Stegostoma tigrinum: one gene and its partners. The protein of the gene in region 2 purifies or fractionates together with the protein of the main gene of each other region. This does not show direct contact. Links are inferred from orthologs where the notes say so. Each region holds a gene or a part of one and is shown on either strand. Other genes may lie near its edges. The genes, in order: eif3k, eif3ba, eif3g and eif3d.

The links.
Region 1: the proteins of eif3ba (region 2) and eif3k purify together in Homo sapiens (affinity purification with mass spectrometry; 7 studies listed by BioGRID and IntAct, with this or other methods). This does not show direct contact. The link is inferred for Stegostoma tigrinum from reciprocal best matches to the Homo sapiens genes EIF3B and EIF3K.
Region 3: the proteins of eif3ba (region 2) and eif3g purify together in Homo sapiens (affinity purification with mass spectrometry; 12 studies listed by BioGRID and IntAct, counting the BioPlex papers as one, with this or other methods). This does not show direct contact. The link is inferred for Stegostoma tigrinum from reciprocal best matches to the Homo sapiens genes EIF3B and EIF3G.
Region 4: the proteins of eif3ba (region 2) and eif3d purify together in Homo sapiens (affinity purification with mass spectrometry; 10 studies listed by BioGRID and IntAct, with this or other methods). This does not show direct contact. The link is inferred for Stegostoma tigrinum from reciprocal best matches to the Homo sapiens genes EIF3B and EIF3D.

Annotation. Positions count from the first base shown.
Region 1 is NC_081392.1:16,942,038-16,950,055, forward strand, and holds the start of eif3k (eukaryotic translation initiation factor 3 subunit K), read left to right. Parts: upstream 1-5,013; 5' UTR 5,014-5,139; coding exon 5,140-5,198; intron 5,199-8,018. UniProt on the Homo sapiens protein: Component of the eukaryotic translation initiation factor 3 (eIF-3) complex, which is required for several steps in the initiation of protein synthesis.
Region 2 is NC_081376.1:1,082,757-1,090,190, forward strand, and holds the start of eif3ba (eukaryotic translation initiation factor 3, subunit Ba), read right to left. Parts: upstream 3,013-7,434; 5' UTR 2,979-3,012; coding exon 2,858-2,978; intron 1-2,857. Other genes in the region: brat1 (BRCA1-associated ATM activator 1), read left to right, coding at 5,313-5,439, 6,426-6,580.
Region 3 is NC_081388.1:22,375,190-22,383,018, forward strand, and holds the start of eif3g (eukaryotic translation initiation factor 3 subunit G), read right to left. Parts: upstream 3,012-7,829; 5' UTR 2,999-3,011; coding exon 2,910-2,998; intron 2,798-2,909; coding exon 2,751-2,797; intron 1-2,750. UniProt on the Homo sapiens protein: RNA-binding component of the eukaryotic translation initiation factor 3 (eIF-3) complex, which is required for several steps in the initiation of protein synthesis.
Region 4 is NC_081391.1:24,612,946-24,620,676, reverse strand, and holds the start of eif3d (eukaryotic translation initiation factor 3 subunit D), read left to right. Parts: upstream 1-4,715; 5' UTR 4,716-5,279; intron 5,280-7,668; 5' UTR 7,669-7,681; coding exon 7,682-7,731. UniProt on the Homo sapiens protein: mRNA cap-binding component of the eukaryotic translation initiation factor 3 (eIF-3) complex, a complex required for several steps in the initiation of protein synthesis of a specialized repertoire of mRNAs.

The DNA of each region.
Region 1 (8,018 bases), on a different chromosome or scaffold from region 2:
GCGGGCCTCACGCATGGCAGGAAAGAATTCTACCGCTGAATCACAAATGCAAGTAATGTTTTGCAGTTTAGAAGAGGACCCCATCAGTCTAAGACTTTACCAAAACAACAATGTCTTGAAATGAGCAATATTTGGTTTGGGCGGGGTGGGGGTGGGGAAGAGGACCGGAATGAGTAAATGTTAGATTTTTTTTTAAATTTAAAAAACATACCTAGTATAGGAATCAGGAGCATGAAAGTAGTAAACACGACAGAGTCACCAAGGCTGAACTGTATTGATGAGAGGATGTCAGTCAAATTAAGAAGGCTGCAGGGAACAGGAAGAGATACATTCTAAGGAGATTTAGTCCAGCTTGGTGTCATTGACTACCTCTTCGTCAAAGTAAAAAGAAGCAACTTGGTTCGACAACACTTGCAAAACCAGTCAAACATGATTGCTTTTCTATGAAGAAAAACATGGTTAGATGCCACTAAGTAGATGGCAATGCCTTAACCATTTGTGTGTTGTAAGGCCACTAGGACCCCTTCCATCCTTATCAAGGGGAGTGCTAACCTTCTCTCCTTTCATACAACACAGCTGCTGTAATCGGTAAGGACAATATTTATACTCTGGGCTATCGACACTTATTTTGGTCAGTGTGATAGTCTGACTCTTTCTAATATGTACGTCATACTTGAATTCTATATTTGTGTGTATTTAAAGCACATTGTGGAAAATCTGAAAATCTGTTAAAAGAAATATACAGTTTGATTTTCTGACCAAAGTTACGAAGACATATCATGCTAATTTATACAGGTTTCAGCCAATGGACATTCACTTCACATCTGCAGCTCAATCAATCGCTCAAAGCTTGAACAAAACAAAAGGGAAATCAGTCCGGCCAGTATACAGCTCATGAAAACGGGAAAATGTGACAGAGAGTTAGATAGCAGAGTCTGAGAATGATTACAGTCTTAATGGTTGGCCGCCATGTACCTTCCAACTCCTCAGTTGACTGCGCATGCTCAACATGTCGAGCCGCTCCCCCATTCAATTGTATGTGAGGGACTGTACATTGTACTATTTACATATGAATTTATTTAAAATTAAAACTAAAATCATTGTTTATAATCACTATCTGTATCTGATGTTTCCAAGATGCTAAAAGAATAGAGTAAATCAGCACAGAAAAAGACAGTTCATTCCACAATGTTCTTTTCCAGCAATTACTAAAAATGTTGGAATGCAGTCAGTAACCGAAGTTAGGTTCTTACAGTGACATTCCAAGGATCAGGTCGTGAGTCATTGACAATCATTATTAAGGAAGCACTGGAAAGTGTAGAGGCAGCTGATACATATGCCCATATTTTAAAAGGGGGAAGACCTGGGCAAGTAGAGGTTACAGAAAGAGGGTAGGAAATTGGAAGTTTTGGTAGAAGATCAGAAATGATCGTACTGATTGCAAAAGAAAATTTTAGAGGCTGCACAGCCCATTTCTGCTTTTGCAAGCATTGCAGCTAGAAGCATAAAATTACAAATATATAATAGACTTCACAAAATGAGCTAAGTGAAGATAGATCTCAATATAAACTCCTCTGAGATAATAGGAACTGCAGATGCTGGACAATCCGAGATAACAAGGTGTAGAGCTGGATGAACACAGCAGGCCAAGCATCATCTTAGGAGCAGGAAAGCTAACGTTTCAGGCAGGGTCTAGGCCCGAAACGTCAGCTTTCTTGCTCCTAAGATGCTCCTTGCCCTGCTGTGTTCATCCAGCTCTACATCTTATTATCTCAATATAAACAAGTGTGAGACCCAAACCACTTTGGATCTAAAACGTGTAGATTGAAATATTCTGTAAATGTTCTTTTATTTATTTCATGGCATGTGTGCATTGTGGGTTGGACTAGCACTTATTGCTATCTGTAGTTGCTCTGGAAAAGATGGCTGCCTTCTTGAATCACTGTAGTACATTTAGTTTTGATGCACCCACAATGCTATTAATTATTCTGTGTGAAGCTGGATGAACACAGCAGGCCAAGCAGCATCAGCAGAGCAGGAAAGATTGACGTTTCGGGTCGAGAAACTTCTTCAGAAATGGGGGAGGGGAAGGGGATTCTGAAATAAATAGGGAGTCAGGGGGAGGCGAATAGAAGATGGGTAAAGGAGAAGATAGGATGAGAGGAGACAGACAGGTCAAAGAGGTGGGGTTACAGCCAGTGAAGGTGAATGTAGGTGGGGAGTTAGGGAGGGGGTAGGTCAGTCCAGGGAGGACGGACATGTCAAGGAGCTGGGATGAGATTAGTGGGTAGGAGATGGGGGTGGGGCTTGAGGTGGGAGCAATGTTTAGAGAGGCAGGGACTAGTTGGGCTGGTTTTGAAGCTTGTGAAGTCCACATTGACACCTTTGGGCTGCAGGATTCCCAACCGAAATATGAGATGCTGTTCATTCAAACCATTTCATTCATTGAAATGGTTCACAACTGGAAGGTGTAGTTGTTTGTTTCAGTTCACAACGAACAACTACAGCTCCCAGTCATGAACCATTTCAACTCACCCCCTCAACTCCTTGGACGACATGTCCATCCTGGGCCTCCTGCATTACCACAATGATGCCACCCAAAAGATGCAGGAACAGCATCTCATATCTCGCCTGGGGACCCTGCATCCCAAGGGTATCAATGTGGACTTCACAAGCTTCAAAATCTCCCCTCCCCTGATCACATCCCAAAGCCAGCCCAACTAGTCCCTGCCTCCCTAACCATGCCTTCCACCTCAAGCCCCACCCCCATCTCCTACCCATTAACCTCATCCCACCTCCTTGACCTGTCTGTCCTCCCTGGACTGACCTATCCCCTCCCTAACTCCCCACCTACATTCACCTTCACTGGCTCTAACCCCACCTCTTTGACCTGTCTTTCTCCTCTCAACCTATCTTCTCCTTTATCCATCTTCTATTCGCCTCCCCCTGACTCCCTATTTATTTCAGAATCCCCTTCCCCTCCCCCATTTCTGAAGAAGGGTCTTGTCTCAAAATATCAAACTTTCCTAGTCCCCTGATGCTGCTTGGCTTGCTGTGTTCATCCAGCTTCACATCGTGTTATCTCAGATTCGCCAGCATCGGCAGTTCCTAATATCTCTGTATTAATTGTTCTGTTGTTTTAGGATGCTGAAATTTTCAGATACAGAGAGCGATTTTCAAATAATGATTTTAGTTTTAGGTATATTTTAGCAAAAAATGTATATGGTACTATGTACTGTCCCGTACATGCAATTGAATTGGGTGTTGACACTGCATATTGGGGAGTTCCAGGATTTTGACCCAGCAACACTGAAGGAATGGCTATATGTTCCAAAGTCAGGATGGTGAGTGGCTTGGAGGGGAACTTGCAGGTGGTGGTGATAAAGAGTCATAGAATCTCTACAGTGTGGAAACAGGCCTTTTGGCCCAACAAGTCCACACTACCCCTCTGAAGAGCATTCCACCCACACTCATTCCCCTAATTTCCCATGTGCAACTCACCTAACCTAAAAATCCCTGGGCACTTTAGGCAATTTCACACAACCAATCCACCTACCCTGCACATCTTTGGGCTTCGGAGGAAACCGGAGCACCCAGAGGAAACCCATGCAGACACAGGGTGAGTATACAAACTCCACACAGACAGTTGCCCAAGGCTGGAATTGAACCTGGATCCCTGATACTGTGAGGCTATGTTGGGTCAGGGTGGCACTGAGCCACCGTGCTGTCCTGACCCAACCATATTGTATTAGATCTGGAGTCACATAAGGCCAGACCAGGTAATTATGGCATTAATGAACCAGATTTTTTTCAACAGACCATGACTTCATGGTCATCACTAGCTTTTTAGTTCTGCCATAGTGGGTTTCAAATCCAGGTCCCTTATATCACTGTAGCTGCTCCTTAAATAGTACAAAGCTTGAAACAGTGGGGATACAAAGAGACTTAAGGGTGTAGTTAAATAGTTCATTAAAATGTCATAAACAGGTACAAAATATAAACAGAACAGGTTATGGAATGCTAGAGCAAAAGGAATACAAAGGGTGAAGTCCTGCTATTTTCACTTTGAAATTCAGCTATGCAAAGATTCGTTGAGTCTTTAGAGAAGTTATATTGGCCTTGAAGGGATTTCCAATTGTAGTTCTGTAGCTGTGACACTATATTCTGCATTCTGTTCTATTATCTTGATGTACTGATGTAAAGTATGATTTGCCTGAATAGCACACAAAACAATACTTTTCACTGTACCTTTATAAATAATAAATCAAATCAGTGGTTAAATTGAAAGGACAAATTACACCAACTAACATTGTTATTCATGGATTTTAGAAGATTAAGAGATGTTTCATTAAATTTTTCAAGAAAGCTAGGCAGAGAGAAACTATTTCCACAGGACAGGCTATGTAACTTTGTAGAATGAATATATTCCACCTAGGAACTCTTCACCCAATCTCCTTGCCTGCGCAAGTCCTTCTGCAACCTCTCCACTACCTGTCCCTCCAAATTTTATTGTTTTTTTAATTTTCTTGTGGGGTGTGGGTATCGCTGGTTGAGTCAGCATTTATTGCCAATCTCTATATATCCTTGAGAAGGTGGTGATGAACTGCCTTTTACAACTGCTGCAGTCCATGTTATAGGGAAAGGGCAGGAGAATGGGGTTAAGAATCATATCAGCCATGATCGAATGGCGGAGCAGACTTGATGCACCGACCAATTGGCCTAATTGTGCTCCTACGTCTTATGTTCTGTGTGGGGAGACAAAAACTGCCATTATGGAGGATATTAACTTTAAATATTGGAAAATAATTGCACTGCACAGATAATCAGGAGTAAGCATGATTTATCCAAAAATTGCTTGGTAAAAGAAATCGGTTCATCCATATCTGCAAGAAAGACGGACTGCAGAATGTCAAAGAATAGACACTAAACGTATCCAATCGAGTTTTAGCGAATGCGCATGCACCACATGCTACCGCCCGTAGGGCCCATTGCACATGCGCGGGTCCGGCGGTCCTGCGCATGCTCGGTGGCCGCTTTCCCCTTTGACCTCACCGGGCCGGTAGAGACGCGTGTGTCGAGGCCTTGCCGCTTGTTCTAGGCCCGAGAGAAACACCGAGTGTGAAACCAGGAGTTGCAGTCATGAGCGTCATCGAGCAGATGAGAGCCAATGTGGGCAAGCTGCTGAAAGGCATCGACCGGTGAGAAGGGCAGAGCCCTGCGCGGGGGGGGGACGACGACAACGGGCCCATAGCAACCTTTATCTAGCACCCCGTAGCAACAAATATCTGCATCTGTGTAGCGCCTGACACGTCGTCAGGACAGACCCAAGTGGCTGAAACCCAATGCGATATGTCCTGAAGAGCAGTCGCTTCCTTAATGTGGGAAAGGTTGTCACTGCAGAGCAAGATCCCACAATTAGCCATGGATGGGAAATGTTGACTATATGTGGGGTGTGTCGGAACACCAGGAACAATTCTTTTCTAACTCCCCCCCCCCCGTTTTGAAATAGCCCTGACCAGTGGGGTTAATATTGTTTCAGAGATAGTAGGAACTGCAGATGCTGGAGAATCTGAGACAACAAGGTGTAGAGCTGGATGAACACAGCAGGACAAGCAGATCAGAGGAGCAGGAAAGCTGACAAAATGGTCTAAGCCCAATACTTAAGCTTTCCTGCTCGGCCTGCTGTGTTCATCCATCTCTACATCTTGTTACGTCTGACAAATGGGTACCTTGCTCCAGTATTTCACCTGAAAGACACAGCATCCCTGACAGGGTAGTACTCCCCCAGTACTGTACGGTGACTTTTTTTAATGGAAGTACACTGGAACATACTAATTAAGACCAGATTGGTCTTCCAGCCCCTAAAGACATTTTTGCTATCCAGTAAGATCATGGCTACTTCACCCAACAAGGCCCTGGCTGATCATTTTGTGTTGCTATTTCTGTCTGATAACCTTTGATTCATACAACAGTACAGCACAGGGATGGGCCCTTCTGCCCACAATGTTGTACCAAACATGATGCCAAATTAGACTAATCCATTCTGCCTGCCCTTGATCCATATCCCTCCATTCCTTGCATATTCATGTGCTTTCTAAAAGTCCTTAAACACCCCTATCATATTTGCCCCACACCACACCTGGAAGTGCGTTCCAAACTCCTACCACTCTCTGCGTTAAAAAAAACACTTGCCCCTCATATCTCCTTTGAACTTCCCCCTCTCACCTTAAATGCATGCCCTCTAGTTTTAGACATTTCAACTCCAGGAATAAGATTTTGACCATCAACCCTATCTATGCATCTCATAATTTTATAGACTTCTGTCAGGTCTTCCCTCAGCCTCTGCTGCTCCAGAGAAAATAAATCGAGTTTTTCTAGCCTTTCCTTATAGCTCATACAATCTAATCTAGGCAGCATCCTGGTAAGCTGACGTTTCGGGTCTAGACCTGAAACGTCAGCTTTCCTGCTCCTCTGATGCTGCTTGGCCTGCTGTGTTCATCCATCTCTACACCTTGTTATCTCAGATTCTCCAGCATTGGCAGTTCCTACTATCTCAGCATCCTGGTAAATCTCTTCGGCAGTCTCTCCAAAGCCTCCACTTCCTTTCCGTAATGTGGCAATCAGAATTGAACACAATACTCTGTGTGGCCTGACTAAAGACTTATGAAGCTGCAACATGGCATCCTGACTATTTTACTCAATTCTGTGACCAACAATGGCAAGCATACCATTTGTCTTCTTTACCAGCCTATGTACTTGCGTGGCCACTTTCAGTGAGTTATAGACTTGAAACCAAGGTCCTTCTGTACATTATGTTTTAGCAAGCAGATATTTTAATATTTCAGTTCAGTTGTGACTTCTACAAATACAGTTATCATAGCAAACCTTGAAGGGTTGTTGCTGTTATTGAGGCATTTGAGATAATTCTTTGGTTTACACAATAGTGAAAAGAAGCCTGGATTTTGCTTTCCTGTGGAATGTATAGGAAATGTGGTAATATTAAAGGAGGTTGCAGAGATCATAAGAGCCAGGGCTACCAATTTTTGATTTGTTTTTTAAAAACTGTTGAACATTTGGCTATTATATACCATGTATATGCTTAAGATACTTGTGAAGACTAGTGAGTGACCTCCAGCATCCTTTTTGAAGGAGCAGGAAGGTAAGAACCTTTAAGTGTATGTAAAGATTATTTGTAAAAATGAAAATTTCTGGAACATAGTAATTTTGAAAGAACTATTCCTTAACAGGTTACAACCAAAGTTCTGTTTTGCACCTGGAGAACAAATACAAATTCCTTCTGACTTTTCATGTAGTTTAAACAACTGCTTTCTCTTTAATAGTGAGCGAAATGTTGAAATCCAGACTTCTCTATTTTGGAAATGTATGAGATGAGGGACTCTCAGGGGAATGTAGTGCTGACAGCCTGGTTTCTGGTACTGAGACTGTCTGTAATGTAACGAGGGGTACGTCAGATTCAGAGGCAAAGACAGGTATCCTGCCATCGACAGCAGAAATATCAGATTGCTGTGTTGCCTCCCTGGTACCAGATCAAGGATACTGTGGATTGCAGAATGTTCTCAAAGAGGAGAGGGACCACCAACAGGTCACTGTATACATTGGAATTAGTGACATAGGAAGAGAAATGGATGAGACTGACGAGTGAATACAGGAAGTTGGGCAGGAATTTAAAAAGAAGGTCCTTGAGGTTAGTAATAACTGGATCACTCCCGGTGCCACAAGATAGGGAGGGTAGGAATAGCCGGATAGAGCAGATGCATGCATGGCTGGAGACCTGGTGCAGGGAAGAAGGATTCACATTTTTGGAACTTTGGGATCTCTTCTGGGATAGAAGTGACCTGTATAACAAGGATGAATTGAATTGCAAGGGGACTAATATATTCATGGGAAGGCGATGACCTAGTGGTATTATCGCTGGACTTTTAATCCAGACACCCAGATACCTGGGTCTCCAGACCGTTTCGAATCCCAGAATGGCAGATAATGGAATTTGAATTTAA
Region 2 (7,434 bases):
GGCTCTACACCTTGTTATCCCAGATTCTAAAGCATCGGCAGTTCCCACTATCTCTGAATAAAATATAACTGGTGCCCTCACATGAAAATTTTATTTCGCATAACAAAATAGGAGTGCAGGAAATTGAAAATAAAGGACATACATTTGCATATATTTTGATGACTACTTCACAACCAATGAAATACTTTGGACGAGTAGTCATAATCTAACTTCAGAACACAGCAGCTAACTTGCCTACAGCAAACTTCCACATAGATCAATACAATAGACACCAGACAGAAAATCTGTATTTTTTTGGCATGCTCATTGATGGATAAATATTGATCAGGACATTAGAAAGCACAGTCCAACACTTTTTCAGAGAAGTGCTATGGGAACTTCTGGATTTACCCATGCAGACTCATAGGAAGTTCATTTAATGTCTCTTCCACAAGATGGCACCAATGACAATTAGCACTTTGAGTACTGCACAGGAGTGTCATTTCTGTTTTTGTGCTCCAGCCACAGCGTATAACTTAAACACGGAATCTTGGGCTTAAAATGTCAGATTAAACTAAGCCAAGACTGGCACAATCATGTGCAATGAAAAAAAAATCAATCTGAAACATTAATTCAGCTTCTCTTTAAACAGAGCTGTTGTCAGATCCGTTTAGTGATCCAACAATTGTTCTCATTTTCACTTCTCCACTGTCCTACAGTATGTGCATCTGCTATCTGGAGAATACCACAAGTAAATATTCAACTACAGTTAATGTTTCTGGTCAGACCATTTAACCAGAGGATGTAAAAGATTTGGATTTCTAGAAGGTGTTGGATAAGCGACGTATGTCAGACTACTTTTTTTATTATTCATTCATGGGATGTGGGCAATGCTGGCGGGGCCAGGATTTATTGCCCACCATGAAAAAGTAATAGTGCACTGCCCTATTGAAGCAATGCAGTCCATTTGGACACACAATGTAGTTAGGAAGAGAGTTCTGAGCACGTGCGGCATTGGAAGTAGTATATTAGCACAGATACAAGCTTGTCTACACAATAGACGACTTGGGACAAGGAGGCACGTTTAGGATGGCAATCCACAACCAGTGGTGTGCCACAGGGATCAGTGCTCAGGCCACATTTATTTAGAAGATATATCAATTATTTAGACAATGCAAGTGAGTATACTATCACCAAGTTTGCAATGACACAAGAAAACTGGTGGGAAGGCAAGTGGTGAGGTTGGCAGTCTGCAAAGACATGTAGCAAGTGGGCAAATATTTGACAATTTAAATATAACGTGGCAAAATGTAAGGTTATGCACTTGGCCAAGGCAGAACAGCTAAATATTGTTTACATGGAGAAAGACAGCAGAAAGCTGCAGCACAGAGGTATCTGGTAGTCTGTGAGGGCATCCGAATGGTTTCTAAAACACTAACATATGAAAGTTCAGCAGGAAATAGGAAAACCTTGCTAAAACTACAGAATCCTTACAGAATACTGCAATCAGTTTTGATATCCCCATCTCATGAAAAGTATAACTGACACCGGAGGCAAAATAGGAGTGGTCAATTAGGTTGATCCTGGATACAGAGGAATTGTCTTATGTGGTAAGGTCGAGTAGATTGGGCCTGTACTCACAGGAGTCCAAATGAATGAAAGGTGACTTTTACTTAGATTCTTCCAGGAAGGTGTGGAGATGTTGCTTCCCCTTGTGTTAAGAGTCTAGGATCAAAGAGAATAATTTTACAGTAAAGGGTCACCCAGTTAGGTGAGAGTTGGAGCAGAGTTGCCTCTCTCTAAGGATAGTGAATTTGTGGAATTCTTTACCATAGAGGGCTGCAGAAGCTGGGTTGTGCTAGGTATATTCAAGACTGAGATCAACAAATTTTCAATCAATCAGTAAAGGAATAAAGGGTTTATGGGGAAAAGGCAGGAAAGGGGATTTGAGGGTTATTAGACCAGCTACAATCTCACTGAATGGAACCACAGACTCAATGTGCCAATTGAGCTAATTTTGCACCTTTATGTCAAAATCTTATTAATTGATTTTATATAAAGTGCCTGTAGTACATGAAATGTGAATATTTGCTATTGTTGGAGGATCAGATTAACTACAGATTTAAAATATTTTGATTACAGATTTTTCTAATCAGCTAGCAATCAGTTTATAACCATGCTAAAATTACATTTGTAATGTTTACAGAATGATTTGGTTCTGGTGTGAACATGTTTTTCCTTTTATCTCATGGAAGACATTGCATATTCATCTAATTTATAAGGATCCCATATTGCATTGCACCCTTCTCAATATAGGTTACACAAGAGTACAAGACATTTAAAGTGATATTGAATTGAAGAACTGTGCAGTTGCAGTTACATCCACCACTCTGTAGTTCATACAATGTTAACACCGGATACTGCACCTTATTTAACTGTAATTTGCGTCACTACGACATACACTTCTAATGGTACAGATCAAACGGAGGCTAGTGATTTCTAATTAAGTTATTTTAAACAAAGTGTGTGAAAATACTTTCAAGTGAAAAAGCGGATTCCCTAGTTTAAATGAAGAACTGCAGTTGTCGCTTAATGATTCACCTCCCTTCACTGTACAGGCTATCTTTCTGGAAAAAAAATATTTTGTCACAACACTAGACACTACTGAATTTATGATCATTAATAATGTGTGTCATTCCCAAGTCAGTGTGTTCCAGCTCTATCAGCCAGGACCCAGTCAACCTGCCTGCTCATCCGGGTCCAGGCCCAGCCTAGGCCTCAGGCTCCAGTCACTCCCAAACGCACATGGGCTGGGGATATGAACCGGTTCCCCTCCATGTGTGCGAATACCGAAAGCTACCCCACTCATTGTCTTTACCCTCATCGGAGATGTCATCCTCGAAGCCTTCAGGGTCGCTGAAGCCTTCCTCGGGCTCCTCCAGCTCTGCCAACTCATCGTCAGCCTCCCGAGCCTCACCATCCCCACTCGTCTCCTTCATCCTGCTTTCGCTGGGCGGCCGGAAAAGAAAGAGCGAGCGCGGAAGTGCGCGGCCGGGCCTCTCTGGGGGAAGGGGGGGTGCAAGGCATGCGCGGTCCCGCCGGTTCGCCTGTTCCAAAGCAATCAGAGGGGCGAAAGCGCTGACATATAGATAGGATTTGGAGGAAATTACCGGTTGTTAAACGGAGGTAGTTTACATACGTATATTTTTGAAAATCTATTACTATAATTCGCTGATTTTGTGTGAGAATCACCGCTACTGTTGAGGATTTGTTGTGGAACATTCCTAATGCTCCCCCCTGACTGTGAATGGTGATCCAGTCCAGGTCGTCTGCTGGAGGGCATGGCGATGGCTTCGTTTGGTTTGTGCTCGTATCCGCGCTCTCTACCTTTGGGTTGATTGTTCACGCAAGGTGTCTGTTTACATTAAAACCTCAGGTCATTTTAAGGCGATTGTTGTAGTGGAGCCAGAGTCCGCTTTTCCCAGTTTTGATTGTAGGACAGTGTCCAGTTTAATCTTCCCTCACCTTGTAGTTTATTTCACTGACATGGATGCCTCTAGAATGGGCGGCTCACAAATGGCCCATTAGACCTAACTGGTTGGTACAAGTGCTGCACGCCAGCTTCCTCCATTCACTGTTTTACCCTCTCGGTGTTTTTGTTTTATCTCATTTACTTAACCTTTCAATACCTATGCCATTCTCTTTAACCACTTATTCTATCCGCCCTCAGGGAAAGGAAGTTTCTTCTGAGTTCTCTACTAGATTTATTACTGACTGTTTTATAGTTAGGATGCCAGGCCGAAAACATACCTAAACTTGCTTATTAAAACATTATTGACGTGAAATGTTAATTCTATTTTTCTCCCCACAGATGCTGCCTGACCTTGAGTGTTTCTGGCATTTTGCCTTCCCCTTTCCTTAACTTCTTTAATGTCAAAGGAAAGGAATTAAGGGATAAGGACCAAGGGCAGGCAGAAGGGATTAGTTTACCTTGGCGTCATGGTCGGCACAGCATTGCGGGCTGAAGGGCCGTTCCTGTGCTGTACTATTCTATGTTCTATGAAAGGTGCGAGTGAATTCTTCTAGAAAGACAGACGTCAGCAATCAAAGTAATAGGATCAGATTGAAAGTATCATTTGTAATGAGTATTTTCAGTTCGTGTTTGGTATTTTACAAAATACTTCCACTCATGTCGTATGGTCTTAAAATAAAAAATGCATATCTATTAGAATCTGACTTACCGAAGTTCTTCTGCAACAAAATGTAACAATTGTACGCTTGGAACAAAGATATTCTCAAACCACAGTAGTGTTACAGTTACCTTATTTTGTCCATGCGCCTGGGCTAAATTTAGTGTTAAGGTGATCCTCGGGCTACATCTGGCCTATCACAAGACACATTGTTCCTACTCTAAAATATTGACAACTTGTATTCCTGTCTTACCTACACCCCTTCTGAAATGTAATTCCCTGGCTTTGCCTCATCGAGAACTGACCTCTCCATCGCCCTTTTTGCTGATTTATTGTCTTTGTTTTTCCTAAGTCTGTCTTAATAAAGAACTCTAGAGTCTACAACCTTTCCTGTGTATCCAACATCTGCCCTTACTAAGCAGAAGTAACTCTGAAGCTAAGAGTATTAATGTTGATCATTTTCAAATTTTAGCAGAGTTCACTAGATATGTTTGCTTCTGATATATTCTTTCCTATCAAGGTATAAATATAAACTACTAAAAACAGAAAAAGCTGGAATTATTCAGCAAGGCTGGCCGCTTTTTTAGCAAATGAAGTGGAGTTGACAGTGTTTCCGATCTATGATTATTCAGAACTGAGTCGTTGACGTGAAATATTAATTCCGTTTCACTCTCCAGTGCCACACAGTTGAGTATTTCAAGCTGTTTTTGTTTTCATTTCAGATTTTCAGTGTGTGCATTACTTTTATTCATAATATTTTATGAATGAATGCAAGTTGTTATAACGAAAAGGAGAAACCAGACTTAAACACATCTGTTCCAAAAAACCATTATTTTGATATTCAGCACAATACACATGAACAATTAATCATAATTACTTTAAAAAATGTTGATAAGTCATACTTCTGAAGATGGGATGAAATATCAAGTTGTATTTGTTGAATTGCTTTGTATGGGAGCATCTTGGAGAATATAAGTATCTTTTGGTAGTGTTAAGATAGTGAGGAACTACTTGCCAATTGTAGCAAATTTAAAACTTTTGGCAATGTTCTTCAGAAGGTATTTTGCATAATATACAAGAGCATGAAGATTTGTATTTTGTTTTTTTTCCCTCCCATCAGAGAATTTATCATATAATTGGAAAATGGAAAGTGAGTGTGTGGAGTTGTTGCCCCGTGTTTTCTCAGTTTTAGGAGATGCCGGGCAAACGGTTGTTGATGATACCTGTTTGGAGAAGCTGCTTGATTGCTTCCGAGGAACAACAGAAAATGGTAACTGGATACTCACTTAATTTGAAGTCATGATTAATACAACCAGTATCAAGTATGAAATGAGTTTTATTTGTATAATTTATTTTTTTTCTACACATTAATGTAATCTAGTACTGGCCTTTGTTACAGTTTGTGATATTAAAGCTATTATATCAATTCTGTTGCAAAAATACTTTGCCACCAATGAGGTTTTTTATCTCCCACATCAACCGTCCCATGAAATTTTCAAATAAGCCTTCAAATTTTGAAGAAATTGTGCCTAGGTTGACATGGTAAGTTAAGGTGAAATAGATTATTTTTCAGAAAAGTTGGTTGACCCATTCATGTCTAAATAACATGTCTATGTGTCTGGATTGAACATTGGCTGCTTTCTTTTAACCATCAAATTTGGATTTCTGTTCATGTGGTCTGCATTACTCAGTTTCATCTGGCATTCCTATCCATTTGCCTGGTTGCCCTAGTTTTTGTTATCCAGGGAATTTAATGCGTTATAATATTGTTGATGTAATTACATTTGTCACCTCCAAATTGCACTATTGTTCTAACTCATTTAAGGTACAGAAACCAAAACATAAGACTATGCCTTGAGTGTGATCCTCAGTCTGTGATTAATCAGAAGTCCACAATGAGAATAGCGCTAAAACTGGCCTCAGAGGGAAGAAGACTGGGTAGAGTTCTGACTACTGATTGTTAACCAATGATTCCTGTTAAAAAGCTCAATTTTGGATATTTGACTGGATACAGAATTGATCTTGGCTAAGCTATCCCACTGATTAAACAGTATGCTGACACAGTGAATATGACCTCACACTGTACCAGTGAGCAATCATTGTCCTTGACCTTTGCAGGAAGACAATACCATCAGGTGAAGGAGAAAATACTGACACCTATGTTAAATAAAGGAACATTATAAACTACAGTGTTAAAATTGAATAGTAAATTTGTGTAAAACTTTATTCACTTTTACTTTTCTGTGTTCCCTTCAGAAACAGAACTCCATATTCTACAGAGAATCCCGTGTCTGACAAACATAATTGTAAATGTATCCAAACAGAAGGATATTCACCCTAACATCCTCTCCTTCATTATGAAGCTGACTGGACTATTTGCTGCATCAGAAAACTATTTTATTCAGTTAGAGGTTAGTAATTAGAAGATAGTTTATTTTCAAGTTTTTGTTTGACGTAAAAAATATTGTTTGTGGTATTCAAGTATAACTGCTCGATTAGAGTTGAAATTAAATTCAAGTTGAAAGTGAAAATTCTGGACATAGACCAGTATATCTATGTCTAACAAAGATGAAAGAGTTCAACACCTAGTATGTACTTCTATTTGGCAAAGGGTGTGCATGTTAAAATTAAATCTTCCTCCCACTTTTTTCATATGCTGTTGCACCCACTATGTATTTCCAGCATTTTCTGGTTTTGTTATTTTCTTCGGGTATCTTGAAATGCCATGCCTATTCATTTTACACAGGATAATTTGTTCAGAGCAATGTAGCCTTGATCTCATCCAAAACTCTGCTTTCTATAACCTAACTTGCGCTGTGTCCTGTTCACAATCACCTCTGTGATCACTGACCAGCATTGGCTTTCAGCTAGACAACATCATTCTTCCTAAAGTTCTCATTCTTAGTTTCAAATTCCAACATAAACCTATACCTCCTTATGTCTGTTACTTCCTGTAAGCATGCAACGCTTTGAGATATCCTTATACCAATGTTGCCAATTCAGATCAGCTATGACTTAACTATCAACTGCCAGGACCTCCAACATTGGCTATACCTCCTTAAATTCTCTACTTTGTTTCTCTCTTTTTAAGTTTATTTTTACAAATGCTTCTTCATGATGAGGACCCAGCAGAGGAGAGTGCAAATGTTGTTCATTCCCCCAGGTTCTGTGCCTGGGCAGCACCAGCACTCTGAAGTGACTGCCTCGTGCCTAGCTCACCATACTCGTGCTCTGCTTTCGAATGGACTTCCAGCACATGAGTTTC
Region 3 (7,829 bases), on a different chromosome or scaffold from region 2:
CTCCCCCTCCCCCCAACATACTCCCCCTCCCCCACATCTCTCCCCCCGACATACTCCGTCCCCCCTCACATACTCCCCCCCACATACTCCGTCCTCCCCCCACATACTCCCCCTCCCCCCGACTCCCCCCCACATTCTCCGTTCCGCCCCCGACTCTCCCCTCCCACATACTCCCCCTCCCCCCCGACTCTCCCCCCCCACATACTCCCCCTCCCCCCCGACTCTCCCCCCCACATACTCACCCTCCTGCCCCGACTCTCCCCCCCAACATACTACTCCTCTCCCCCCACTCTCCACCCCAACATACTACTCCTCTCCCCCCACTCTCCCCCCCAACATACTCCCCCTCCCCCCAACATACTCCCCCCTCCCCCACATCTCTCCCCCCGACTCCCCCCCCACATACTCCGTCCCCCCCTCACATTCTCCGTTCCGTCCCCGACTCTCCCCCCCCACATACTCCCCCTCCCCCCGACTCTCCCCCCCCCACATACTCCCCCTCCCCCCCGACTCTCCCCCCCCCCACATACTCCCCCTCCCCCCCGACTCTCCCCCCCCCCACATACTCCCCCTCCCCCCCCCACATACTCCCCCTCCCCCCGACTCTCCCCCCCCACATACTCCCCCTCCCCCCCGACTCTCCCCCCCCCACATACTCCCCCTCCCCCCCCGACTCTCCCCCCCCCACATACTCCCCCTCCCCCCCCCACATACTCCCCCTCCCCCCGACTCTCCCTCCCCCCCGACTCTCCCCCCCCACATACTCCCCCTCCCCCCCCCACATACTCCCCCTCCCCCCGACTCTCCCTCCCCCCCGACTCTCCCCCCCCACATACTCCCCCTCCCCCCCGACTCCCCCCCCCACATACTCCCCCTCACCCCGACTCCCCCCCCACATACTCCCCCTCACCCCGACTCCCCCCCCCACATACTCCCCCTCACCCCGACTCCCCCCCCCACATACTCCCCCTCACCCCGACTCCCCCCCCCACATACTCCCCCTCACCCCGACTCCCCCCCCCCACATACTCCCCCTCACCCCGACTCCCCCCCCCCACATACTCCCCCTCCCCCCCGACTCCCCCCCCACATACTCCCCCTCCCCCCGACTCCCCCCCCCACATACTCCCCCTCCCCCCCGACTCCCCCCCCACATACTCCCCCTCCCCCCCCGACTCCCCCCCCCCACATACTCCCCCTCCCGCCCGACTCTCCCCCCCCACATACTCCCCCTCCCCCCCGACTCTCCCCCCCCACATACTCCCCCCCGACTCTCCCCCCCCACATACTCCCCCTCCCCCCGACTCTCCCCCCCACATACTCCCCCTCCCCCCCGACTCTCCCCCCCCACATACTCCCCCTCCCCCCGACTCTCCCCCCCCACATACTCCCCCTCCCCCCCGACTCTCCCCCCCCACATACTCCCCCTCCCCCCCGACTCTCCCCCTCCCCCCGACTCTCCCCCCCCACATACTCCCCCTCCCCCCCGACTCCCCCCCCCACATACTCCCCCCCCCACATACTCCCCCTCCCCCCGACTCTCCCCCCCCCGACTCTCCCCCTCCCCCCCGACTCTCCCCCCCACATACTCCCCCTCCCCCCCGACTCCCCCCCACATACTCCGTCCCCCCCCACATACTCCCCCTCCCCCCTACTCTCCCCCCCCACATACTCCCCCTCCCCCCCGACTCCCCCCCACATACTCCGTCTCCCCCCCACATACTCCCCCTCCCCCCGACTCCCCCCCCACATACTCCGTCTCCCCCCCACATACTCCCCCTCCCCCCCGACTCCCCCCCCACATACTCCCCCTCCTCCCCGACTCTCCCCCCACATACTCCCCCTCCTCCCCGACTCTCCCCCCACATACTCCCCCTCCTCCCCGACTCTCCCCCCCACATACTCCCCCTCCTCCCCGACTCTCCCCCCCACATACTCCCCCTCCTCCCCGACTCTCCCCCCCACATACTCCCCCTCCTCCCCGACTCTCCCCCCCACATACTCCCCCTCCCCCCCCCACATACTCCCCCTCCCCCCCGACTCTCCCCCCCAACATACTCCCCCTCCCCCCCGACTCTCCCCCCCAACATACTCCCCCTCCCCCCCGACTCTCCCCCCCAACATACTCCCCCTCCCCCCCGACTCTCCCCCCCAACATACTCCCCCTCCCCCCCGACTCTCCCCCCCAACATACTCCCCCTCCCCCCCGACTCTCCCCCCCAACATACTCCCCCTCCCCCCGACTCCCCCCCCACATACTCCGTTCCACCCCCGACTCTCCCCCCCCACATACTCCCCCTCCCCCCCGACTCTCCCCCCCAACATACTCCCCCTCCGCCCCCACTCTCCCCCCCCACATACTCCGTTCCACCCCCGACTCTCCCCCCCCACATACTCCCCCTCCCCCCCGACTCTCCCCCCCAACATACTCCCCCTCCCCCCGACTCCCCCCCCACATACTCCGTTCCACCCCCGACTCTCCCCCCCCACATACTCCCCCTCCCCCCCGACTCTCCCCCCCAACATACTCCCCCTCCGCCCCCACTCTCCCCCCCACGCCCCCAACCCCCAACTCTCCCCACACACGCCCCGTTCCCGCTGCACACTACCGCCCCCCCCCCAATCTCCGGAAGGGACGGGCGGTAATGCTCGTGACCCAGGATCCCGATTATTTTCAGCGGGAGCTGCCCCGGCGGCGGTAGCTGGGACCCGGCCCACGTGTGGGGCCCGGCCTGAGGCCTGTTCCTTACCCTCGTCTCCCTCCTCCTCCACCTGGTCGGCCCAGCTGGGCTTCGAGCTGCGGGGCAGAGAGAAACAAAACACGTTCCGGTTAGCGACGGAGAGACTGGCGGCTCCGCGAGTAACTCACACCCTCTCCTAGGGTTTCCGAGCCCAAGCCCCGCACTCACTCGAAATCCATAGTGAACCGGAACCGGGCGCATCCAGAGAGCCGGAGATAGGCCGCAGGCTGGGCGGATACGGTGGCCTCCCAAAACATCGCCACCCGGCGGCTGGGCAGCTACAGTAACCGCCCAACACAGCGCCACCCGGAGGCTGGGCAGGTGCAGTGACCTCCCAAAACTGCGCCATCAAAAGGCTGGGCAGAGGCTGCGACCTCCCAAACCAGCGCCACCCGGAGGCTGAGCAGACACTGACACCTCCCTGCACAGTGCCACCCTCAGGCTGGGCGGACACAGTGACCTCCCAATACAGCGCCACCTGCAGGCTGGACGGACTGAATAACCATACAAAACAGCGCCCGTCGGCATATGAGAGATAACAAGATGCAGGGATAATGGGAACTGCAGACGCTGGAGAATCCAAGATAATAAAATGTGAGGCTGGATGAACACAGCAGGCCAAGCAGCATCTCAGGAGCACAAAAGCTGACGTTTCGGGCCTAGACCCTTCATCAGAGAGGGGGATGGGGTGAGGGAACTGGAATAAATAGGGAGAGAGGGGGGAGGCGGACCGAAGATGGATAGAGGAGAAGATAGGTGGAGAGGAGAGTATAGGTGGGGAGGGAGGGAGGGGATAGATCAGTCCAGGGAAGACGGACAGGTCAAGGAGGTAGGAAATGGAGGTGTGGCTTGGGGTGGGAGGAAGGGATAGGTGAGAGGAAGAAGAGGTTAGGGAGGCAGAGACAGGCTGGGCTGGTTTTGGGATGCAGTGGGTGGAGGGGAAGAGCTGGGCTCCCAAAACCAGCCCAGCCTTCTCTGCCTCCCTCACGTCCACACCAACCCTCAGAATATTATCCACCCACGCCCCCGGACCCATCCCTGAACACTACGGGCAATTTAGCACAGCCAATCGACCTAAACTGCACATCTTTGGACTGTGGGAGGAAACCGGAGCACCCGGAGGAAACCTATGCAGACATGGGGAGAACGTGCAAACTCCACACAGTCACCCGAGGCTGGAATTGAACCCGGGTCCCTGGTGCTGTGAAGCTGCGGTGCTGACCACTGAGCGACGTGCTGCCTCATTAATTTTGTCCAACTCAACCATACTGACAAGATATCCTAAATTAATCTAGTCCCATTTGCCAGCATTTGGCCTACAACCTTTCAAACCCTTCCTATTCATATAATGAGCCAGATGCCTTTTAAATGTTGTAATTGTACCAGTCTCCATCACTTTCACTGTTCCTTCATTATTCTCAGGAACTCAGTTATCCAGACACACTTGTTACTAAACAAAAGACACAGTCAGCTGTGCAGGTTCACTGCTGATTTCTTTTCACTTCCCCATGTGGTCTCTACTTTGTCTGCCTTCCTCCTTTTTAAAGTGCTGTTGTTTTGACTTTTTCTTCCAAAGTTTCAAAACAACGTGACTGCTCAAAAGACAGTAATTACTTCTCCAAAAAATCAAGGAAACCATCTTCACCACTGAAAATACCTCAAAAGGAGCAGCTCCTACAGCCACAAATTTTCCCCATCCTCCATGTTGAATTACCCAGAATCTTTTTCATTTGATTTGGTTTATTGTCACATGTGCCTGAGTACAGTGAAAAGCTTTGTTTTGCGAGCAGTACAGGTAGGTCATAGCAAACAAGGACATATAGATCACAGAGATAGTGAGAACTGCTGATGTTGGAGCCTGAGATAACAAGGTATAGAAATGGATGAACACTGCGAGCCAGGCAGCATCAGAGGAGCAGGAAAGAAGACATTTCCGGTCGGGACCCTTCTTCAGAAAACTTTCTTCTGAAGAAGGCCCCACACCTAAAAAGTCAACCTTGCTGCTCCTTTGATGCATACAGATGGCAGGGTGCTCAGACAGAGTGAGACATACAGCGTATACTGCTCAGAAGGTGCGCAAAGCAAGACTAACATTATTTGAAATGGGAGAGGTTCATTCAGCAGTCTGATAACCGCAGGGAAGAAGCAGTTCTTGAACCTGTTGGTACATATGTTTAAGCTGCTATTATCTTCTGCCTGACAGAGGAGGTTGAGAAGAGATTATCACTGGGGCGGGAGGGGTCTTTGACAACGTTCACAGCCTTTCCATGGCAACAAGAAGTGTCAATGGAGTTCATGAATGGGAGGTTGGCTTGTGTGATGGTGTGAGCTGTACCCACAACTTCCCGTGGTTTCTTACGGTTCTAAGCAGATTTCCAGCAGCCACGTTCTTTTGCTTGTATTTTGAGAATTTCTGTGAGATCCTGGATTGAGGAAGATATGCTTGATTAGGAGTGAAACCAGGAAACACATCCCTGTTCACACAAAGAATAGGGAACATCTGGAACTCAGATGGAGATCTGGTTTCAGTTGGAGATTTCAGTCTGGGATTGATAGAATATTGTGTAATTGTAAATCTGGACCAATGATCGGTAAAGAGCAGGTACCATCTGACTGAATGGCAGAACAGACTTGCGGGATGAGTGGCCTGTTCCTGTTTCTGTTCCCGATGCTGCAAGGCCAAAAAGTGAAGCCCGATCACAGAACTGTTTAAGAAAACTCTTAAAATTTCCAACATGTTGCATTTATTGTGGATCTTTTAACATGTTTAAATGATCCTGGGGCATTCAAGAAGGATAAGGGTTTGCAAGCATCCTTGCAAAGAGCAGAGAGAATTAAAAAGAAACAGAAATGTCTTGTTGTTATCAGTATGACAGTAAACATGGCAAGTTCCTGCAGCCTTTCTCAGTGGAGCATGTAATGGTCACGCTATCTGCTGCATTGATCGGATATTTCAAACTGAAAACAGCTTTTATTATTGATGTTGAGTAACGATTAGAAACTATGCATTCCTTAAATCACAGATTATATCTTCGGCAGTGATGCAAACTGGAAAGTGTGTTTTGACCACGGTTCGGAATCCTTCCTCAAAAATGATTATACTCGAATCAACGTATTTACTGCATTTCCCTTACCAGAGAGACCACCAGATTTAAACGTTCTGTTTTTATTTCAAGTTTGCAGCGTCTAAAGTATTTTTCTTTGACAGTAAAACAGCAAGGCCAATCGTAAGGCATTTGCCCACAGAATCATGTTTAGGGGAGTCATAGCAGCACAGAAACAGGCCCTTCATCCCAACCTGTCCATGCCGACTTGGTTTCCAAAACTGTCCTAGTCCTGTTTGCATGCATTTGGCTCCCTTTCCATGTACCTGTCCAAATGCCTTTTAAATGTACTATTTGTATCCACCTCTGTCACATCCTGTTGCAGCTTGTTCCATGTACGCACACGATGAGATAGTTGGCTCTCTCCCCCGTACCCAGCTTTTCCTGGAGACGTGTGGGTGGAAAAGAAAATCTCAAAGAAAACCACGTTAGTGCAGCAAAAACGTCTTTATGTTCAACTTGTTCATGCTGCACAGTGGCCTGACCTGGCGTTACCTTGAGGACATTTTATTTCTGCTCATTGTGTTGCCTGTCCAGCATATTGTCATCACTCTCGAACATCAATTCCACATTCCCACGCTGCGGTGTAAAACCCCACAGCATTCGCGTTCCCCTCCTGCAGCTTCAACTCAGGACGGAGAATGGCGGGAGTGGGTGGTTTCAGCAGATTCCTTAAGACTGCTGGTTTGGAGAATGTGCTGTATCTGTGATTACCGTACCCCACTGTATCTGTAATTACCGTACCCCCCTGTATCTGTAATTACCGTACCCCCCTGTATCTGTAATTACCGTACCCTCCTGTATCTGCAATTACCGTCCCCCCCTGTATCTGTAATTACCGTACCCTCCTGTATCTGCAATTACCGTCCCCCACTGTATCTGTAATTACCGTCCCCCACTGTATCTGTAATTACCGTACCCTCCTGTATCTGCAATTACCGTCCCCCCCTGTATCTGTAATTACCGTACCCTCCTGTATCTGCAATTACCGTCCCCCACTGTATCTGTAATTACCGTCCCCCACTGTATCTGTAATTACCGTACCCTCCTGTATCTGCAATTACCGTCCCCCCCTGTATCTGTAATTACCGTACCCTCCTGTATCTGTAATTACCGTACCCTCCTGTATCTGCAATTACCGTCCCCCACTGTATCTGTAATTACCGTCCCCCACTGTATCTGTAATTACCGTACCCCCTGTATCTGTAATTACCGTACCCCCTGTATCTGTGATTACCGTACCCCCCTGTATCTGTAATTACCGTACCCTCTGTATCTGTAATTACCGTACCCCCCTGTATCTGCAATTACCGTCCCCCCCTGTATCTGTAATTACCGTACCCTCTGTATCTGTAATTACCGTACCCTCCTGTATCTGCAATTACCGTCCCCCCCTGTATCTGTAATTACCGTCCCCCACTGTATCTGTAATTACCGTACCCCCTGTATCTGTAATTACCGTACCCCCTGTATCTGTGATTACCGTACCCCCCTGTATCTGTAATTACCGTACCCTCTGTATCTGTAATTACCGTACCCCTCTGTATCTGTAATTACCGTACCCCCCTGTATCTGTAATTACCGTACCCCACTGTATCTGTAATTACCGTACCCCCCTGTATCTGTAATTACCGTACCCCCTGTATCTGTGATTACCGTACCCCTCTGTATCTGTAATTACCGTACCCCACTGTATCTGTAATTACCGTACCCCTCTGTATCTGTAATTACCGTACCCCACTGTATCTGTAATTACCGTACCCCCCTGTATCTGTGATTACCGTACCCCCCTGTATCTGTAATTACCGTACCCCACTGTATCTGTAATTACCGTACCCCCCTGTATCTGTGATTACCGTACCCCCCTGTATCTGTAATTACCGTACCCCACTGTATCTGTGATTACCGTACCCCCCTGTATCTGTAATTACCGTACCCCCCTGTATCTGTAATTACCGTACCCTCCTGTATCTGTAATTACCGT
Region 4 (7,731 bases), on a different chromosome or scaffold from region 2:
CTCCCAGACAGAGCGAGCACCCACAGGACCCCGTTCCCAGGCAGAGCGAGCACCCACAGGACCCCGCTCCCAGACAGAGCAAGCACCCACAGGACCCCGCTCCCAGACAGAGCGAGCACCCACAGGACCCCGCTCCCAGACAGAGCGAACACCCACAGGACCCCGCTCCCAGAGCGAGCACCCACAGGACCCCGCTCCCAGACAGAGGGAGCACCCACAGGACCCCGCTCCCAGACAGAGCGAACACCCACAGGACCCCGCTCCCTGACAGAGCAAGCACTCACAGGACTCCGCTCCCGGACAGAGCGAGCACCCACAGGACCCCGCTGCCGGACAGAGCGAGCACCCACAGGATACCGCACCCGGACAGAGGGAGCTCCCACAGGACCGCGCTCCCAGACGGCGCGATAACCCACAGGGCCCCACTCCCAGACACAGCGAGCATCCACAGGGCCCCGCTCGCAGACAGCGTGAGCACCCACAGGGCCCCGCTCCCAGAGCGAGCACCCACAGGACCCGGCTCCCAGACAGAGCGAGCACCCACATGACCCCGTTCCCAGACACAGCGAGCACCCACAGGGCCCCGCTCCCAGACACAGCGAGCACCCACAGGGCCCCGCTCCCAGACACAGCGAGCACCCACAGGGCCACGCTCACAGACAGAGCGAGCACCCACACGGCCCCACTACCAGACACAGCGAGCACCCACAGGACCCAGCTCCCAGACAGAGCGAGCACCCACAGGTCCCCGCCTCCAGACAGAGCGAGCAGCCACATGACCCGGCTCCCAGACAGAGCGAGCGCCCACATGACCCCGTTCCCAGAAAGAGCGAGCACCCACAGGACCCCGTTCCCGGACAGAGCGAGCACCCACAGGACCCCGCTCCCAGACAGAGCAAGCACCCACAGGACCCTGCTCTCAGGCAGAGCGAGCACCCACAGGACCCCGCTCCCAGACGGCGTGATAACCCACAGGACCCTGCTCCCAGGCAGAGCGAGCACCCACAGGGCCCCACTCCCAGCCAGAGTGAGCACCCACAGGGCCCCGCTACCAGACAGAGCGAGCACCCACAGGGCCCCACTCCCAGCCAGAGCGAGCACCCACAGGACCCCACTCACAGACAGAGCATGGACCCACAGGACCCCGCTCCCAGAGCGAGCACCCACAGGACCCGGCTCCCAGACAGAGCGTGCACCCACAGGGCCCGGCTCCCAGACAGAGCGTGCACCCACAGGACCCGGCTCCCAGACAGAGCGTGCACCCACAGGACCCGGCTCCCAGACAGAGCGTGCACCCACAGGGCCCGGCTCCCAGACACAGCGAGCACCCACAGGTCCCTGCTTCCAGACGGCGTGCACCCACAGGACCCGGCTCCCAGACAGAGCGTGCACCCACAGGACCCGGCTCCCAGACAGAGCGTGCACCCACAGGACCCGGCTCCCAGACAGAGCGTGCACCCACAGGGCCCGGCTCCCAGACACAGCGAGCACCCACAGGACCCGGCTCCCAGACAGAGCGTGCACCCACAGGACCCGGCTCCCAGACAGAGCGTGCACCCACAGGACCCGGCTCCCAGACAGAGCGTGCACCCACAGGGCCCGGCTCCCAGACACAGCGAGCACCCACAGGTCCCTGCTTCCAGACGGCGTGCACCAGTATTTCTGAGAAAAGTCACTGCAAGTATTTTAAAACAGACCTGATGTCAGGGCTGTACGATCATAAATTCTCCCAATTTGGGGAATCATTACTCAATAAAGCTGAATCTTTCCTGCTTTTCAACTGAAATCGAGGTCATCTTCATCACTTCGAGCCAGTCACAAAAAGAAAGTAGCTCAAACAAACTTACCCACCACTGAGAAAGCTGGAGGAACGTTTACAAAATGCGGTGAACTGCACCTACGCTAATTTAGATTCTATTTTATTATATCTTACAATAAAATATGAAGATCATGCTTCTACATATTGTACAAAGATAATGTTTTGAAAGAGAAATGTTAAATAAAAATATTTTATACATTTTCAGATTTCTATTTTGTAACATCACTCTTTAGAAAGATTTCCCTCAAACTTTGTCTCTGTTATGTGTGATACCAATTAAAATCAGTGAAGGAATTACTCTGGGAATTAGAAATAATGACGGCAATTTTAAGCTTCAACTTTTGACCTCGAGAAGAGAAAAAGAGAAAGGTTCAGGATGACATAGTGGGGCTGACAGCTTCTTGAGAGCTGCAGGAAACTGAAGAAAAATGCTTGGCCTTTTCACTAGAACATTACATGGAGTGACCTGATTGAGAGAAGATAGTGTGGGGCTGGATGAACACAGCAGGCCAGGCAGCATCAGAGGAGCAGGGAAGCTGACGTTTCAGAAAGGGTGGGGGAGGGGAGAGGTGGGAAGGGAGCTGGGAGATAAATAGAGAGGAGGGGTGGGGCTGGGGGAAGTAGTTGGGATGGTGATAGGTGAGTGCAGGTTGGGGGTGGTTAGGTGGGACAGGAGATGGACAGGTTGTGTCAGGTCAAGGAGGGGGGAGGATGAGAGGGAGAGTTGGACACGGGATAAGGCCAGGGGTGGGTGGGAAGATTTTGAAACTGGTAAAATCCACATTGAGACCATTGGTACGTAGGCTCCCAAGGCAGAAGATGAGGTGCTGCTCCTCCAGTTTCCGGGTGGTGTTGTGTGACACTGGAGGAGGCAGGATGGACGTGTCGTCCGGTGGTGGGGGGATAGTTAAAATGGTTTGCAGCCGGAAGGTGTTGTCACTTTTTGCAAATAGAGTGTAGATGCTCTACAAAGGAGTTATTATTATCATCACAGTTATTATTATAATAAGTGGTTATTATCACATTGCTGCTGGTGGGAATTTACTGTTTACAATTTTCTTGTTTCCTTGTATTCTTCACTGATGGGATGTCGCTGGCTGGGCCCAGCATTTATTGCCCGTCCCTAGTTGTTCCTTGAGAAGGTGGGGGTGAGTTGCCTTCTTGGATCGCTGCAGTCCCTGTGCTGTAGGTTGACCCACGATGCCCTTAGGGAGGGAATTCCAGGATTGTGACCCAGCACCAGTGAAGGACGGCGATACATTTCCAAATCATGAAGGTGAGTGGATTGAAGAGGAACTTGCAGGAGGTGGTGTTCACATGTATCTTGCTGCCCTTGTCCTTCTAGATGAAAGTGGTCGTGGGTTTGGAAGGTGCTGTTTGTGCTCACTGGATTTTTGCAGGGCATAACCTATTTTGAGATGACGTGCTCTTCCTCAGTCTCTTTTACTGCAACTCTTTGCATCTCGCGCTCAGTCCCTCTCCATCATAGGTTCAGTTTCCCCGCTCGATGACTCTATGACATAACCAGTCCATGCTAACCATGTTCCTAAGTGAATTCCGCCTGCCTGTGCTTGGCCCATATCCCTCTAAAACTTTCCTATTCATGAACTTATTCAAATGCCTTCTAAATGTTGTAACTGTACCTGTGCCCACCACCACTGTACCTGTCCTTTGGCAGCTCATTCCAGGCACAACACCCTCTGCGTAAAACAATTGCCCCTTAAGTCCCTTCTAAATCTTTCCCTTCTCGCCGATGAACCTAGTTTCGGATTACCCTCCATTCGGGGGCGAAAAGGTCTGTTATTCACCTTACCAAGCCCCTCATTACTTTAATAAACCTCTGAGCTCACTCGTCTCCCTGTTTCTATCCTTGTCCTCTCTGGCAGTGGTTCACATTCTCTCAGATAATGAAATGTGAGGCTGGATGAACACAGCAGGTCCAGCAGCAACTCAGGAGCACAAAAGCTGACGTTTCGGGCCTAGACCCTTCATCAGAGAGGGGGATGGGGAGAGGGAACTGGAATAAATAGGGAGAGAGGGGGAGGCGGACCGAAGATGGAGAGAAAAGAAGATAGGTGGAGAGGAGAGTATAGGTGGGGAGGTAGAGAGTGGATAGGTCAGTCCAGGGAAGACGGACAGGTCAAGGAGGTGGGATGAGGTTAGTAGGTAGATGGAGGTGCGGCTTGGGGTGGGAGGAAGGGATGGGTGAGAGGAAGAACCGGTTAGGGAGGCAGAGACAGGTTGGACTGGTTTTGGGATGCAGTGGGTGGGGGGGAAGCGCTGGGCTGGTTGTGTGGTGCAGTGGGGGGAGGGGATGAACTGGGCTGGTTTAGGGATGCAGTAGGGGAAGGGGAGATTTTGAAACTGGTGAAGTCCACATTGATACCATTGGGCTGCAGGGTTCCCAGGCGGAATATGAGTTGCTGTTCCTGCAACCTTCGGGTGGCATCATTGTGGCACTGCAGGAGGCCCATGATGGACATGTCATCAAGAGAATGGGAGGGGGAGTGGAAATGGTTTGCGACTGGGAGGTGCAGTAGTTTGTTGCGAACTGAGCGGAGGTGTTCTGCAAAGCGGTCCCCACACACGCTCACATTCTCTCCACTGGTTCTAGTACTGTCCCTGGGGCAGTGGCTGTGCCGCCATTCCTCTCCCGCCCACCTGGGTGGCGCTGTGTGGGGTGGGTGGGGGGAGCGGCGTTCAGTCACGGTGCGGACCATCTTGGCGCCGCTCGCCAGCTCCGTGTGGAAGCGGCCCGCGGAACACTGCCGTAAAGCGGATTTCAACCCGCGGCGCCCAATTCCCGATTTCCATCAAAGCTGGTGCCCGTTGGGATTTATCTAAACCAAAGCGCCGAGAGAAACACGGCTCCGGCCTTGGGGCCGTCTTCAGGTCTGCTATTTAAAACGATTTAATCCGACAGCACATTCACGACATTGTCGTGGTGTGGACCCGAACCTCCTTTACGGTGGTGTGGCAGAAAGTCGCCGCCTCTTTTAAACGAATCATCGCCCCCCAGGATCCGCTGGAGAATGTTCCCCGAGTCTGAGCGGAAAACGTGACAGTTACGGGGCACTGTCTTGCGACCGACTTTACGGCAGCGCTGTCGCACCCATCTGCCGCAACGTGGCGGCTCCGTTTTACGGCACCTTACGACCTCCTTCCCGTGCCGGACTACGGCAGTTTGTAGACACTGAGGAAGGGCCGCCGGACCCGAAAACGTTTTAACTCGGGTTTTTCTTTCCCTTCACAGACGCTGCTGAGCTTTTCCAGCAAATTCCGTTGCTGTGTTCCTGCTTTACGGCAGTTTGCGGCCGTGTGGCGCCCCCGCGGGTTTGGACGTTTTACGGCGTTTCGCTGCCGGGTAACGGCCCCGGTTTACGGCGCTTTACGACAGCGCGGCGGCCGGTTGTTGGTGTCTGTGAAGCTTCGCGGATCCGGCGGCGGCGGCGGGAACCAGGTAAGAGGCGGCGGCTCGGGCCCGCGGGGGGCGCCGGGGGGGGGATTGTCCGCGGGCGTCGGGCCCCGAACCAATACCGGGGATCGGGCCTGAGGCCTCGGGCCTGGCCCTCGCCCTGCGTTTGTCTAGCGCCTGAGGCGGGCATTGAGTTGTCGTTCCGCCGGGCACTGGCCAGTTGCATTGATGTAGCCGCCTGAGCGGTGTCGGCGCAGGTTGGTGCCCGGAGAGGGACAGGAGCACAGGATCCGGGCACAGCCCCCCCCCCCCCCCGGGGATCCGGGCACAGCCCCCCCCCCCCCGGGGATCCGGGCACAGCCCCCCCCCCCGGGGATCCGGGCACAGCCCCCCCCCCGGGGATCCGGGCACAGCCCCCCCCCCCGGGGATCCGGGCACAGCCCCCCCCCCCGGGGATCCGGGCACAGCCCCCCCCCCCGGGGATCCGGGCACAGCCCCCCCCCCCGGGGATCCGGGCATAGCCCCCCCCCCCCGGGGATCCGGGCACAGCCCCCCCCCCCCCGGGGATCCGGGCACAGCCCCCCCCCCCCCCCGGGGATCCGGGCACAGCCCCCCCCCCCCCCCCCGGGGATCCGGGCACAGCCCCCCCCCCCCGGGGATCCGGGCACAGCCCCCCCCCCCCCCCCCCGGGGATCCGGGCACAGCCCCCCCCCCCCCCCCCGGGGATCCGGGCACAGCCCCCCCCCCCCCCCCCCCGGGGATCCGGGCACAGCCCCCCCCCCCCCCCCCGGGGATCCGGGCACAGCCCCCCCCCCCGGGGATCCGGGCACAGCCCCCCCCCCCCGGGGATCCGGGCACAGCCCCCCCCCCCGGGGATCCGGGCACAGGCCCCCCCCCACCCCCGTTATTCAAGAAAGGTGGTCTGGGTAAATTGGACATCAATAGGCCACCTTGACTCTGACACAAGTGGTAGGGAAACTCTTGAAAAGAAATTCTGAGGGACATAATTAATCTCTACTTGGAGAGTCAAAGATTAATGAAACATGACATTATTTAGGGGGAGATCATGCCTGATAGATTTGATTCAGTGATTTGTGGAGGTGACTGGATGTGTGTATGAGGGTTGTGCAGTGGATGTAGTCTGCATAGATTTTGGTAATGGTTTTGCCAGGGCTTCACATGGTAGACTGGTCAATAAAGCAAGAGCCCATGGGATCCAGGGCAGTTTGACAATTTGGATCCAGAATTGACTTAGCAGCAGCAGAAGGCGGGGTATAATAGTTGACGAGTTATTTTTGTGACTAGGAGCTTGTATCCAGTGGTGAATGCAAGGCTTGGTGCTGGATCCTTTACTGTTTTTACAGCGTATTAATGATCTAGACGTGAATGTAGGAGGTTTAATTGGTAGGTTTGCAAATGACACAAAAATTGGTGGCATAGTAAATAGCGAAGAGGTAAACATTACAGTACAGAATTGTATTGACAGGCTGGTCATATGGGCTGAATTATGGGCGAGTGGAATTTAATCCTGAAAAGTGTGAGGTGATACCTTTTGGGAAGACTAACAAGGCCAGGGATGATACAAAAAATGGTGAGACCCTAGCAGGTGCAGAGGGTCAGAAGTGCCCTGGTGTGTGTGTCCACAGAACCTTGAAGGCAACACGTGTTTGAGGTGGTTAAATATTGGGATTTTTGCTTTTGTTAGTCAAGACATTGGTAGTTATGATGGAGCTGTGTAAGATATGAGTTAGGCCGCAGCTGGAGGACTGCGTGCAATTATGATCACCAGTGTAGAGGAAGGATACGATTGTGTGAGAGAGCTGTGTAAGATATGAGTTAGGCCGCAGCTGGAGCACTGTGTGTCGGTCTGGTCCCCATATAGCTGGAAGGATGTGATTGCCCTGGATGGGGTGCAGAGGAGATTCACCAGGATGTTGCCTGGGCTGGAGGGATTCAGTGAAGCAGAGAAACTGGATAGGTTTGGGCTGTTTTCGTGAGAGCACAGAAGGCTGAGGGAGTGGGGAGTGAAATCTGACAGATATACAAGATTATAAAGGGCGTTGATAGCGTGAGTAATCAAAATGTCACAGTTTTGGAGGAAGGAGCCAGATGTTTAGAGGCGATTTAAGAAAAAATGTTTTGACCGAGAGGGTGCTGGAGATTTGGACCTCACTGCCTGAGAAGGTGGCAAAGGCAGGAAGCATCACAACATTCAAAAAGTGTTTTGCGCTTGAAATGCCCTGCCATACGAGGTCAGGGCTGAGTGTTGGAGAATAGTCATCGAACACCAAGCTGCTTTCGCCCCAATGTGGAGGTGATGAGATTTTCTATGTAACCCTTTCAGGTGGTAGTGAGCTGCTTTTGTGAATGGCTGCGGCTCCCCCCGGCTCTCTCCCTCCTGCCATTTATATGGTGTTTGGGTGTCTCTTTGCAGCTGGTTGTAGAAGATGGCACGATTCCTGACCCCTGTGATCCAGGATAATCCATTCGGATGGGG